Rhinolophus ferrumequinum: one gene and its partners. The protein of the gene in region 1 interacts with the protein of each later gene in a biochemical or structural test. Links are inferred from orthologs where the notes say so. Each region holds a gene or a part of one and is shown in the gene's direction. Other genes may lie near its edges. The genes, in order: KHDRBS1, FGR and FNBP4.

Region 1 (3,746 bases):
ACACAACAAGGACACTTCAGCCATTTGTAACACCATCACCCAAGCAGAATGTTCAAGGACAGCAGCAGAAATGAGTTGCAAGGGAGCTATAAATCCTCCTTGCCCCCTTTCCCTCCTCCATGCATTTGATGTCTCCCCCCACTATTTCTTCACAGTTCACAACTCGATTACTCCCATTCCTTAAATGCGTCTCTGACATTCTCATCTCTGCTCATTTGTTCACGCTTCCCTTTGCCTGGAACTCATTCTCCTCTGGCCAAAATCTATCTTGTGCTTTGAACTCCAATCGTACTTAATATTCACTTATCTCTTGGCATTTGTCACATTACAATTTTTCATTACAATTATTTAAAACATTCTTTTTTTCCTCCTACTTGAATATAAACTACGTTTGTGACCTCAAAGTACTGCACCTGACACCAGAAATATATCTATATATGTGATAATTTGTGAAGATATTTGTGTTTTGTTCTCATTTCTGTGGGTGGTTTCTCTCCCCCACTCACAAGGTTGCCAGGCCTTAATGTTCTCTTGTTGAAGGCTTCAAAGTTTCAGATCCCAAAATCAAAAGTTTCCAGGCACCCAGAAGATAATTTCCAGAAATGCTCCTGAAAAGCGTTGGCTTATTCTGGGAAACTGATCCAGAAGGAAAAGGGATGGGAGTGCTTAGAAAGGGAGAAGCAAATATCTGTGAAAGGAAGGAAAGGTTAAAGAAGGCACCAGAATGAGGAGAATGCGTTGGCAGACTGTCCACTATACACCTTGGCCTTGAGAGCAGTGGTAAGGATCTCTTTGAACAGGTCTGGAAGAATCCAGTGTGAAGGGCCCAAAAAGAGGCAGGAGGCTTACCACTCACATCAGTAGAAGGAGCCACCCTAATGATGCAACCATCATGGATTATGGACCTGGCCTCTAGCCCACTTTTTGCGGAAGAATCTTAGTTCAAGTCCTCCAACAGCCTTCAGTCTTCCCACTGCCGAGTCCTTCCTCAATTTTTCCCTCCAAGCTTTCCTTTCTCATCTGCACCCTTCAGCCCTGCGTCAGACTCTCCCTTAGTCGTTCCTTCTTCACCCCAGCCTCCCCTCTGCCCTGTCTCTTCCTCCTCTCTTCCCAGGCCCAGCCAGCCTCAATTTTCTCCTCTAACCCACGCCACCCGCAACCTCGCGTCTCTCCCGCCGGTCTCCTTTTATTCCCCTACTTCAATAACCCCTCCCACCTCATTGAGCACAACCCCCCTCTACTGCTGAGCCGTTAGAGGGGGCGTGGCCCCGCCAGTAACAGGTCTCCCGCCCCACACTCCGCGGGTCCGCGCGCAGACAAAGACATTCCACAGCCCCCGCCCCCACCGCGCACTCGGCCCGAAGGGGGAGGAGACACGTGTCCCGCTAGCGCCCAGTCACGTGGTAGAGAAAACGAATGCTGCCCGCCGCCACCCGCGCAAGCGCACAAGGCTTTGGCCTGGCGGGCTCCGAGGGAAAAGAGGAGCAGGGAGGCGACATCTTCGGGTTCCTCGCCGGTGCGCAGGCGCCGTGGCCCGATTGGGGACTTTGTTCTTCGCGGAGAGACCCAAGGGCGGTGCCGGAGACTGGCTGCGCACGCGCGACGCCTCATTTCCGGTGCTCTTTCGCTGGGTCGCTCGGGTCGGCTTCGGTCGCCGTCGCTCCTGCTCTCCTACCCCCGCCAACCGCCACTCGGGCCTCTGCCGCTGCCGCGTCGCTTCCTCGATCCTTCGATCGCACATCCTCCCCAATGCAGCGCCGGGACGACCCCGCCGCGCGCATGAGCCGGTCCTCGGGCCGCAGCGGCTCCATGGACCCCTCGGGTGCCCACCCTTCAGTACGTCAGGCGCCGTCTCGGCAGCCGCCGCTGCCTCATCGGTCCCGGGGAGGCGGAGGGGGATCCCGGGGGACCGCCCGGGCCTCGCCCGCCACGCAGCCGCCACCGCTGCTGCCGCCCTCGGCCACGGGTCCCGACACGACAGTGGGCGGTCCGGCTCCGACCCCGCTGCTGCCCCCCTCAGCCACTGCCTCCGTTAAAATGGAGCCGGAGAACAAGTACCTGCCCGAACTCATGGCCGAGAAGGACTCGCTCGACCCGTCCTTCACTCACGCCATGCAATTGCTGACGGCAGGTAAGCGGGCCTCCCGAGTCCTTCTGGGTCGCCCGGCCACCCGGGAGCATGGGTGGCAGCGGCTTTGTTCTTCTCTCTTCCCGCCCCCTCGGGACCAAAGCAGTCATGAACTCCCCTTCTCGTTTCCTCATTCTCATCTTCGGTAGTCTGGATTGCACATTCCCATCCCGGCCCTGGGTGCGAGGGAGAACGTCTAGGCTGCAGTGGAGGCCCGAAAGGCACTTGGCGATCTCTGAGTGCAAAGATGTTGATGGATAGTGCTGCGCTCCCGCCCCCTTTGTGATCCCCCTCCCACCTCTTGCAGCTGCCCCACGCTCCGAGTGCTCAGATTCTTCCAGAAATGAACCTTTATCTCCCCCTGCCCCCGAAAGGGAAAGCTTTTTCGTCTGCGGGTGGCGGTAGGCGCCTCAACTGAGGGTGTAGGAGGTGAAGACAGCCTGAGCGAGGGGGGGCCGTGGGAGGGCGGGCGGAGGTGAGATGGGGTGAGGCTGGAGTGCCCTGTCCAGCGCGCCGCGGTTGCTAGGGCCGGGTCAGACTTAGCGGTAACTGGAGCTTAAGTTGCTCCGAGGTAGGAGCAACCGGTGGGAATCGACGCTTGAGGTTATCCGAATCGTATTTCCGACTTGCACCTAAAATAATCATTGCTGCAGAGCTGGAAGTGGTCAAGAATAAGCACGGACCCTCTTATTTTACAACTTGTGTTCACCATCATTCAAGAAGGGGAAAAATAACCCTAGAGACAGTGAAACTGGGAAGAGGGAGGAACGGGTGGTTTGCATGACATTCCCCAACGAAATGGACAAAAATTGAGGAAGTTGCACGATGCTTGTACCTGAAAGCCTTTTTCTTTGTGTTTTTTTTTCTTTTTGCTTCAGTAGTGAAATAGATTAGGAATAGTATAGTCTTTGTTCTGTGTCGCTGCTCCTTTTCTGCTCTGCACTAGCCAATCACCTAGTCGCTCTGATTTCTCCCTAAAGCCGTCTGTTTTGCCCTCACTTCTAGTTGAAACGTTGTTTTAATAAGTAGTTCTTATATGATACCTAAATTTTAATAAGTACAAATTCACAGCCTTCAACACTGAATGAGTGACTAACTGGACTTTTTGACAAGGTTAATGTAACAGGCAGATCCTTATGAGAATACTTCGCTCCCTTTGTTCTCTATCTCCCAACATTGCTAAGGGGTCTTTAAAAGCATAAAGCACTCAGTGGTCAAGAATAAGCACAGTTAGATAAAGTGTTTACATTATGAACTCAGTGCTTTGCTGTTCTGTAATGGATTGTTTGAAGCATTACTGTTCATGTATTCTGGCAAGGTTTTTGAGAGCAAGGAATGCTTTTTATCTTTATATTTTTCTATTGTCTTACATGTAGCAAACCCCAGGTGCTTGAATTTGAAAGCAGATTTAGGAATGTCCGAGTAGTAAAGGTTGACTTGGTAGTCTAATTTTTATTTCCTCAAGTCTTTAATTAGTCCAGGTTAAATTTGTGAGATAAAATAACAAACTTTAGGACTTTTAAAGTCTTGGCTTAGGCTTGAAATTCTGACCCTTGACTTGGGAAACTTCCTGAACCTCAGTGACCTCAACTGTAAAGTGGAGTGGTGAGTTGTGAGG
Region 2 (3,746 bases), about 3.0 Mb from region 1:
CAACAGGGTTGCCGGTTCGATTCCCATATGGGCCAGTGAGCTGCGCCCTCCGTAACTAGATTGAAGGACAACTTGGAACTGATGGGCCTCCGTAACTAGATTGAAGGACAACTTGGAACTGATGGGCCCTGGAGAAACACCCTGTTCCCCAATATTGCCCCCTGTCCCCCCAAAAAGTTGTCTTTAAAACAAAAAACACATGGACCAATGGCCAGTCAATGAGTGCTTGATAGTGGAGAAGATGGTGCCCAGCAAGCATAAGGCCATCCTTCCCAAGTTCCTGCACCTTCACCTCCTTCCCTGTGTCTTCCTCCCCATTCCTTCTCTCATTTTCCTAAGGAGAAAGCCTTCTTACCTGCATTCCACCATAGTCTGCCACCCCACAATCACATTGGGATACACCTTGGTGCATGTACAAGTGCACACGCACACACAGGCATTCACAGACATCCCTATTTTCATACATGCAGAATGTGTCCCAGTTGATTGCAAAATTGCAGTCATCGTGTTCACTGACTACAATCGCATGCACGCGTGCGCGCACGCGCACACACACACACACACATCTGTGCTCACACACCCTCCCGGCCTCCCACCGTATCCCAACACACACACACACTTCTCCACCAAACAGCCCTGTTACACTCATTTCTTCTTCCCCTGACAGGAGGGACTTTCCTTGTCCTTAGTTTAAGGCTAAAAAAGTAACAGTGGCCAGAGGGGGGATTGAACCCCAGGTTGAGGGGGTTCAGGGATCCCTGCTAGTTGGAAAGGCTGGAACTGTGATAGAGGAAGACACTCAGTTTTTCTAAAACTTGGGTGTGGGGGGGGAGGCTGACACCCTCCCCCTCCCTTAGTTTGGGCTGATGGCTGATTGCTCTGAAAAGCAGTTTCCTAAGGATAGGGTCTCCTGCAGCTCCCACTGTCCGACATCTCTGTGTCCCCAGCACCCAGCAGCCCCTGAGGATGGCAAAGCATGGTGACTGGTGGCTCTGGTCACAGCAGTGTGAGGTCAACTGGCTGTGAAAATTTGCTAAGGCCTGTCCTCATCTGGTCCTCAGTTTTCCCACCTGCAAAATGGGGGCTTCAATGCTAGAGAAAAAACCCTCTTAACCTCAAATGCAATGATTCTAAAAGAGCTGGTGCTTCTGGGTGGGAGCAGGAACCTGTCCCCTTGGAAGAGGCCCTTAAGAAGTCTGTCCTGGGGGTTCAGGTCTGCGGGGAGGAGTTGGGTGGGAAAGCCGACCCCCGTAACCGAGGCGGAAAGTGGGGGCGGGCGGACCTGCCTGGGATTTGAGGGCCCCTCCCCGCTGCCGGCAGCTTGGGGCAGGGGCGTGACTGCGAGTTCTCCCCGCCGCCACCGCTGTTGCCGCTGCGGCTGCAATAAGAGAAGTCCGAGACGGCTTCCTCCTCCCTGCCCAGAGGGGGCGGCGGTCAGAGGCGGGCAGTACCCCAGTTTTCTCCCTCCACACGTCGGCACTTGTGGCTGCTGGGAGCCCAGCTGGCTCGCCCTGAGGTTCGTCAGAAGCCGCCTCCCCTGGCACCAGGTAGGCGGCCGTCAGGTGGGGCTGGAGGGGCAGCGCGGTGCCCCGCCCCTGGCCTGCCTGCGGCCCTGGAGGGAGGACTAGGTGGGGTAAGCCTGAATTTAGGGAGGGGGACTGAGGGAGTTGAGGGCCAAAGCGGCCCCACCCCGAAAAGAAGCTAAAGAGGAAAACGGGAGACCTGGAGAGTAAGAGTGATAAAATGTGGGGAGGAGGGTGAGGGAATATATGGAAAGCAGACTAAAGGGACCCCAAAAAAAGGTCTGGTGGGGAAGACGGAGGGAACCTCTTCAGTGAGATTGATAGAATTGGGGAAGGGGGCTGAATCGGGGGCGAGGGACTAAAGGGACCCCCAAAAGTGGCTGGGCGAGAAACTGAGGGAACCTTGAAATTGAGGGTTTGGGGAGAAGCTGAGGGGTCTGGAAGAGGGGAAGCAGGTGAGGGCACTGGGAGGATCAGGTGTGGGAGTTTGCTGGAAGGGGTCAAGGAGAGCCATCTGTGGAGGATGCAGAATGTAGGGCGCAATTCCGGGGTTCCATGAAGTCCTCCAATCTGGAATCGGCAAAAGTCGGGGGGGAAGCCTGTAGCCAGCCGGGGGGCGGGGCGGGTGGAGCGGAGGCGGCTACCTATCAGCCCCCTCCCCACCCCGCACTGGTCGGCGGACTGTACATAGAGAGGGGACTCCTTCAAGGCGCTAGAGGCGTGGGTCCCGGCTTCCTGGGGAAGTCCCCGCCTCAACAGGGATAGGCCTCTCTGGGTGCCCCTTCCCCGCCCGCAGTGGCGCTCTCGGTCCACGTTCCCCCTCGGGATCCGGGAATTGCTGGCTGCCCCGACGGAAATCCTGCCTTTGACCGTGATTGCCGGGAGGGGCTGTCACCATGGCAACAAGAGGGCGGAGAGGCAGAGCCTGGCACTTGGCTACTGTAGTGCACATTGCCCTCACAGTCCCCTTTGGTCCCCTCTCCGCCCCCATTTTGTGTCCTCAGTCGGAGGCGGGCTGCGGAACTGAGAAGTAAAGCGATGATGCTTGGTGTTCAGGGATCCTGGGGTGGGCGATCTGCAGATTCAAGAACTTGGGTAGACTTGGCCCTTGATTGCTGTGTGACTTTCGGCAAGTTATGGGGCTTCTCTGGGCCTCATTTTCCTCATTTGAATTATAGGGGGAAATGATCTCTGCCCCTATCCAACCGCTAGATCCCACCTCATCCCCAGTCATGAGAATCAGGTGCAGAAAGCATTTTTTGCCCAGTGTCCTGGAGGGGTTAAGAGTTATTTATCACTGACCCCAGGGAACCTCCCCTTCACCTTCTCAAAAACCAGAAAGCCTGACAGGGCCTCCAAGGACCAGCACACAGTTGACGTCTAATAAATAAATGTTTGTGATCTGTTAAGGGAATGTCAGCAGGTTTGAAATCTGTCCCCAACCCCCACGGTGCCACACCCTGTGATTCTGAGTCCTTTTGCCTCCTTCTGCTTTTGGTGGTGGTAGTGGGAGAGCAGAGCTCTGTTCCCACTTCACAGATGGGAAGATGGAGGTTTGGGAGTCAATGACTGACAGGGCCAACAGTAGGGATCCAGAGTCCTGGGCATTTTGTCCCTGATGTGGTGAAGGAAGTAGCCAGAACTGAGGCCTAAGTTCCCTCCTCATCCCTACCAAATCCAATGTAAACTTCTGGAGAGGGGAATGGGTGAAGGGCAATGGTACAAGAAGATATGGGATTCCTGGGTTTCAGGGCTGGCTCCTGCTCCTCAGTGGGTGTGAAGCTGTGAGTGAGGGTGTGGAAGTGTTTGTGAGGGAATGAGTGAATGAGCATGAGTGTCTGAGAATAGGTGTGGGTATTTCGGTGTTCTCTGCAGCCACCTCGGGCTGATGTGGAAAAGGAAGTGGCCAGACCTTGAGAAGCTGGGTAGCGAGGCCCCAGAGCCAGAGAAGGGAGAGTAAGGGCCCTTCCAGCAGGCCTAAGGGGGGACCCGGGGTGGGGGCTTCCTGCCTGGCCACACTGTGGAATCTAAACTCCTGTTCCTCAGCTCCTCCTGGACCACACATGTCTCCCAGCTCCCAAGAATCTCAAGTTTCTAAAGACTCCTGTTTTAGAGGCTGATGAGTATGTTTTCAGCAACAGATGAGAAACCACTTTTACCTACAAGAAGTGAAGAAAATTCAGCTGACACCCTCAGGACCATATAGAGGGTAAAGCTAGTGTG
Region 3 (3,746 bases), on another chromosome or scaffold:
TGTGCCCAATCAGCACTGATATATTGGGGCCATGGGCAGCAGACTGACAGCTGTCAAACCCAGAGGCCGCAAGAGACCAAAAGGCAGGAAAGTCAAAAGAGGAGGAGGGGAGCCTGGGCCTGTTCATAGAAGATGAGGATGAAAAAGTGATCCCAGGATATGCAAATAGTTTGTCGCGACAGATTCCACTATTATAGACAGGCTAGACAGACAGATTGGATAACAGAGAAGTCCAGAATCTCGGAGGCCGTACTAATCCTGAGACGGGAAATTGCCACGGGGAAAGTGGAGAGGTATGATTGTGGAACTGTGTACCTCATTGCACGGATATTTTCTTCATTTTGGTAGGGAAGCCTACAGCCAATCTACCCTGATCCATGACCAACTTATTCTGTCATGGGAGTCTTCAAGACCTTAAGTGCTCGGGCAATGGCAAAGATTTCCCATCTGAGTGGCCAGAAATGTCACCAGAGGCTAATGGGTATGTCCAAGAGAGAACTCAACCCAGAGCAGCGGTGACCAGATTCTTGACACTGCATAAGAAAGAATTCACAAGCAAAACAAATGCAGGAAAGCAAAAGCGATTTATTGAAAACAGAAATAAATCTTGAGAAGAAAGTGTGGACCAACTGAGAGAAGGTATCTCATGGAGGAAGTCATGATCAGAGATTTTTATTCCTCCCAGGGAAGGAACTGGTGACATCCCATTGACGTGATTCATTCATCTCAGCCCTCTGGGTGGGACCCTCCGTTTCCTTTTTCTTCCTTAAATGATTCCTCCGAGACCATCATGGTCTCAGATGCATGATGGGAGGCACAGTAACCGCAATGCAAATGACATTATAATGACATTAAAATTGGCTAAACGTCAGATCCCAAGGTCATAGGGATTAGCCTTACTGGATGAAACTGGTTGTTTTTCTCCAGCTGCAGGTGGTGGATAGTCACTTGTTACTTGTGTAACCAGTGAGGTCCTTCATGTTGTATCCTGGAGGGGGTTGTCAATTTCCTAGGCTACCTATCCTGCTGCACTTCTAGTGATTTTTTCCCCCAGCTGATGAGCAACATCATCTTTGTGCGCTAAAATAAACATTTATAAAAGCATAAAAGACCACTATTCTATTTAGTGTTCAATGCTATACCCAAAGTAAACCACAATAATCAGGGTGAAACTCGGGGAAAGGCCCTCAAATCAGCATAGCTTCCTAGAGGACAAACGAAGATGAACAGTAAGTCCAAAACAGACACAAGATGGAGGACAAGAGGGTGAAGAAAAGACTCCGCAAAAATGCCTGGGTGGAGCCCCACGTGATGGGCAAGTAATTCTAAACTCAGGCCCTTCCGCACTATTGGCTTGACGCTCACTCTTTTTCCTTTTCAATTGGCTAAAGATTCCTTCAATGGGTCAAAATAACCAATCGCTGAGCGCGGTGGATAAAGCCCGCCCTCCCTCTCTGGGGAGAGAAGCCAGAACATAAAGTGCTCAAGGCGCTTGCGCTGGCGCGCGCTCCGCGGTTAAAAGTGGATCCTCGCAGGAGGCGGGGTCACCGTACATGAATATTGATTACGCAGCGCCACGCCGAGCACCCTCCCCTCTCGGCTGTCCGACGCTAGCAGCTCGCGCTTGGGCTCGCGATGGGGAAGAAGTCCCGGGCGGTGCCCGGCCGCAGGCCTATCTTACAGCTCTCTCCACCGGGTCCCCGGAGCAGCACACCTGGCCGGGACCCGGAGCCGGAACCCGACACCGAGCCGGACTCGACGGCGGTGGCGCCCAGCCAGTCAGCCCCGCCGGCGCCGCCGCCGACGACGACCACCGCGGTGACTGCCGCCCCGGCCCCGGAAGATTCGCCTTCTGAAGGTAAGGGTGCGCGAGGGACCTCGGCCCCTAGGTGGGGCGTCCACAACTCGAGCTCGGGTCTTGTTGCGGCCTAGACCTCCCGGGCAAGGCCGGGGAGGAAGAGAATCCTGGCGGGCGGCGTCTGCATCCGAGGCCTGCTGCGTGGGGCCTGCGGGAAGGACGGCAGTGTGCCCCAACGTGGCGGAAGGGGCCGCGGAATCGCGCGCGCCAGTCCCAGAGGCGCCATCTCTGTTGCAGGGGTTGGCCCGGGCACCCAGAGTTTCGTCAACGTCCACGCTCGGTATTGGATAACTTACGGGGTAGATGTGAGTATGCGTTTCCGCGTTCGAGGCTTGATGTCTGGAACCTGATCTTTTCTGCACATCATCCGCTTTTCCCTTCGTTTTTGTTGATACTGAAAGAGACCCTTTAGAAGTGAGCAAACCCTTTTTACTATGCCAGCTAAAGTGTAAGTAAGCCCAAGTTGGCGGGTATCCCAAAAATTCCTGGAGAAGTAGAGCTTGTGGGTTCCCAAGTACTTGTGTGTTTCTCCTCGGAATGGTACTTGAATTAAGAGTAACTGGACAACGCTTCTATAAGCCAGACCCTGGAGTGGTTATTTTAGGTGTTAAAAAAAAAAATCACGTTGGTAGCTCATGCGGGGAAAAACATGCTATAGCTGTGCTTGTTGTAAAGGCCCTGTGGTAGCCTGGAGATGATGTGTTTGTGTATTTTTAAATTATTTCAGGTGTAATTTTTATAGGTAACGTTCAGGTTCTTAATGTTAAAGTCACTAGGTGGAGAAAAGAAAAGATAAAAAAAAGTAATTAGGTAGTTGGAAGATTCTAGCTCTACTTGTTTTTCATCTCCCACTTATTTGGGTCAGTGATGGATTATACACCCTGCTTTTAAATTGATGAAATTTAGAGTTGAAAGGTTAAATCAAAGATTATTTTGTCACCTATAGTGTTTTCTCTGGTCCATCATCTGACTGTAGTTTTCTTTTGTTCATTTTCTAAATCCAGATGAACAGGAAGTGGTGGTGGAGGTTCCCAGAGTTGTTCAGAATCCTCCAAAACCAGTCATGACTGCCAGACCCACAGCCGTTAAAGCAACAGGTATAGATTGTTTTTATTTTCTACATCTTTTCTACAGTATCTTTCATTAGCATCAAATTGGGTTTGTATATAGTGTTGTTGAATGCTTCGGTGTTGCTAATTTGTCTTTATCCCATAAAAATGAACATTTAAAATCTTTGTGAATTTGTTGTGAGTTAATATATATATACTACATACAGACACATATATATATCCTACATACACACGCACACACTTCAACCAATGTAAAATTTGTTGCATTTTATTTGGACCCAAAATACTTTGCACTACTTTTTCTTCTAATGCCATTTGGTAATGAATTTTCTGGCTCCCGCCACTAGATTTGTGTTCTTTAACACACTGCTTTGGTGGTACCTAGCAAATGTTTGTGGAGCTGAAAATTGCTTTTATTAAATACTTATTAAGCACTAAAGAGTATTTGCGACAGTGGTTTTGTAGGCAAACCTGCGTTTAAATTGCCACTCTGGCATTCATTCTGAGGCCTCAGGACCTCATCCACCTATACAATGGATCTTTCAGCCCTAAGTTAATTTGATGATTAAATCAAACAATGCGTATAAAGTTTTGACACATAGCAAATGCCAAAAGTGTTAGTTTTCTAATTTCTACCTATCTTGAAAAATTAAAATATGTTTTGATACTAAATATTCTATAATTGGTAGTAATTTTATTCTTTGCAGTTTGGACTGCTTTTTGTACTATGTGACACTGAAATAATAGATGCTTATTCCTCCTCACCGCCCCCTCCTTCCTGTTTGCCACTTAAAACAAAACAAAAGAATCCCAGTCTG

The links.
Region 2: of the proteins of KHDRBS1 (region 1) and FGR, one has a biochemical effect on the other in vitro, tested with the Homo sapiens proteins (2 studies listed by BioGRID, with this or other methods). The link is inferred for Rhinolophus ferrumequinum from reciprocal best matches to the Homo sapiens genes KHDRBS1 and FGR.
Region 3: the proteins of KHDRBS1 (region 1) and FNBP4 form a complex in vitro, tested with the Homo sapiens proteins (2 studies listed by BioGRID and IntAct, with this or other methods). The link is inferred for Rhinolophus ferrumequinum from reciprocal best matches to the Homo sapiens genes KHDRBS1 and FNBP4.

The regions. Positions count from the first base shown.
Region 1 is NC_046292.1:21,978,373-21,982,118, forward strand, and holds the start of KHDRBS1 (KH domain-containing, RNA-binding, signal transduction-associated protein 1), read left to right. Parts: upstream 1-1,458; 5' UTR 1,459-1,749; coding exon 1,750-2,131; intron 2,132-3,746. UniProt on the Homo sapiens protein: Recruited and tyrosine phosphorylated by several receptor systems, for example the T-cell, leptin and insulin receptors. Once phosphorylated, functions as an adapter protein in signal transduction cascades by binding to SH2 and SH3 domain-containing proteins.
Region 2 is NC_046292.1:18,958,681-18,962,426, reverse strand, and holds the start of FGR (tyrosine-protein kinase Fgr), read left to right. Parts: upstream 1-1,371; 5' UTR 1,372-1,547; intron 1,548-3,569; exon of another isoform or gene 3,570-3,646; intron 3,647-3,746. UniProt on the Homo sapiens protein: Non-receptor tyrosine-protein kinase that transmits signals from cell surface receptors devoid of kinase activity and contributes to the regulation of immune responses, including neutrophil, monocyte, macrophage and mast cell functions, cytoskeleton remodeling in response to extracellular stimuli, phagocytosis, cell adhesion and migration.
Region 3 is NC_046294.1:13,562,221-13,565,966, forward strand, and holds the start of FNBP4 (formin-binding protein 4), read left to right. Parts: upstream 1-1,494; 5' UTR 1,495-1,635; coding exon 1,636-1,858; intron 1,859-2,095; exon of another isoform or gene 2,096-2,163; intron 2,164-2,862; coding exon 2,863-2,955; intron 2,956-3,746.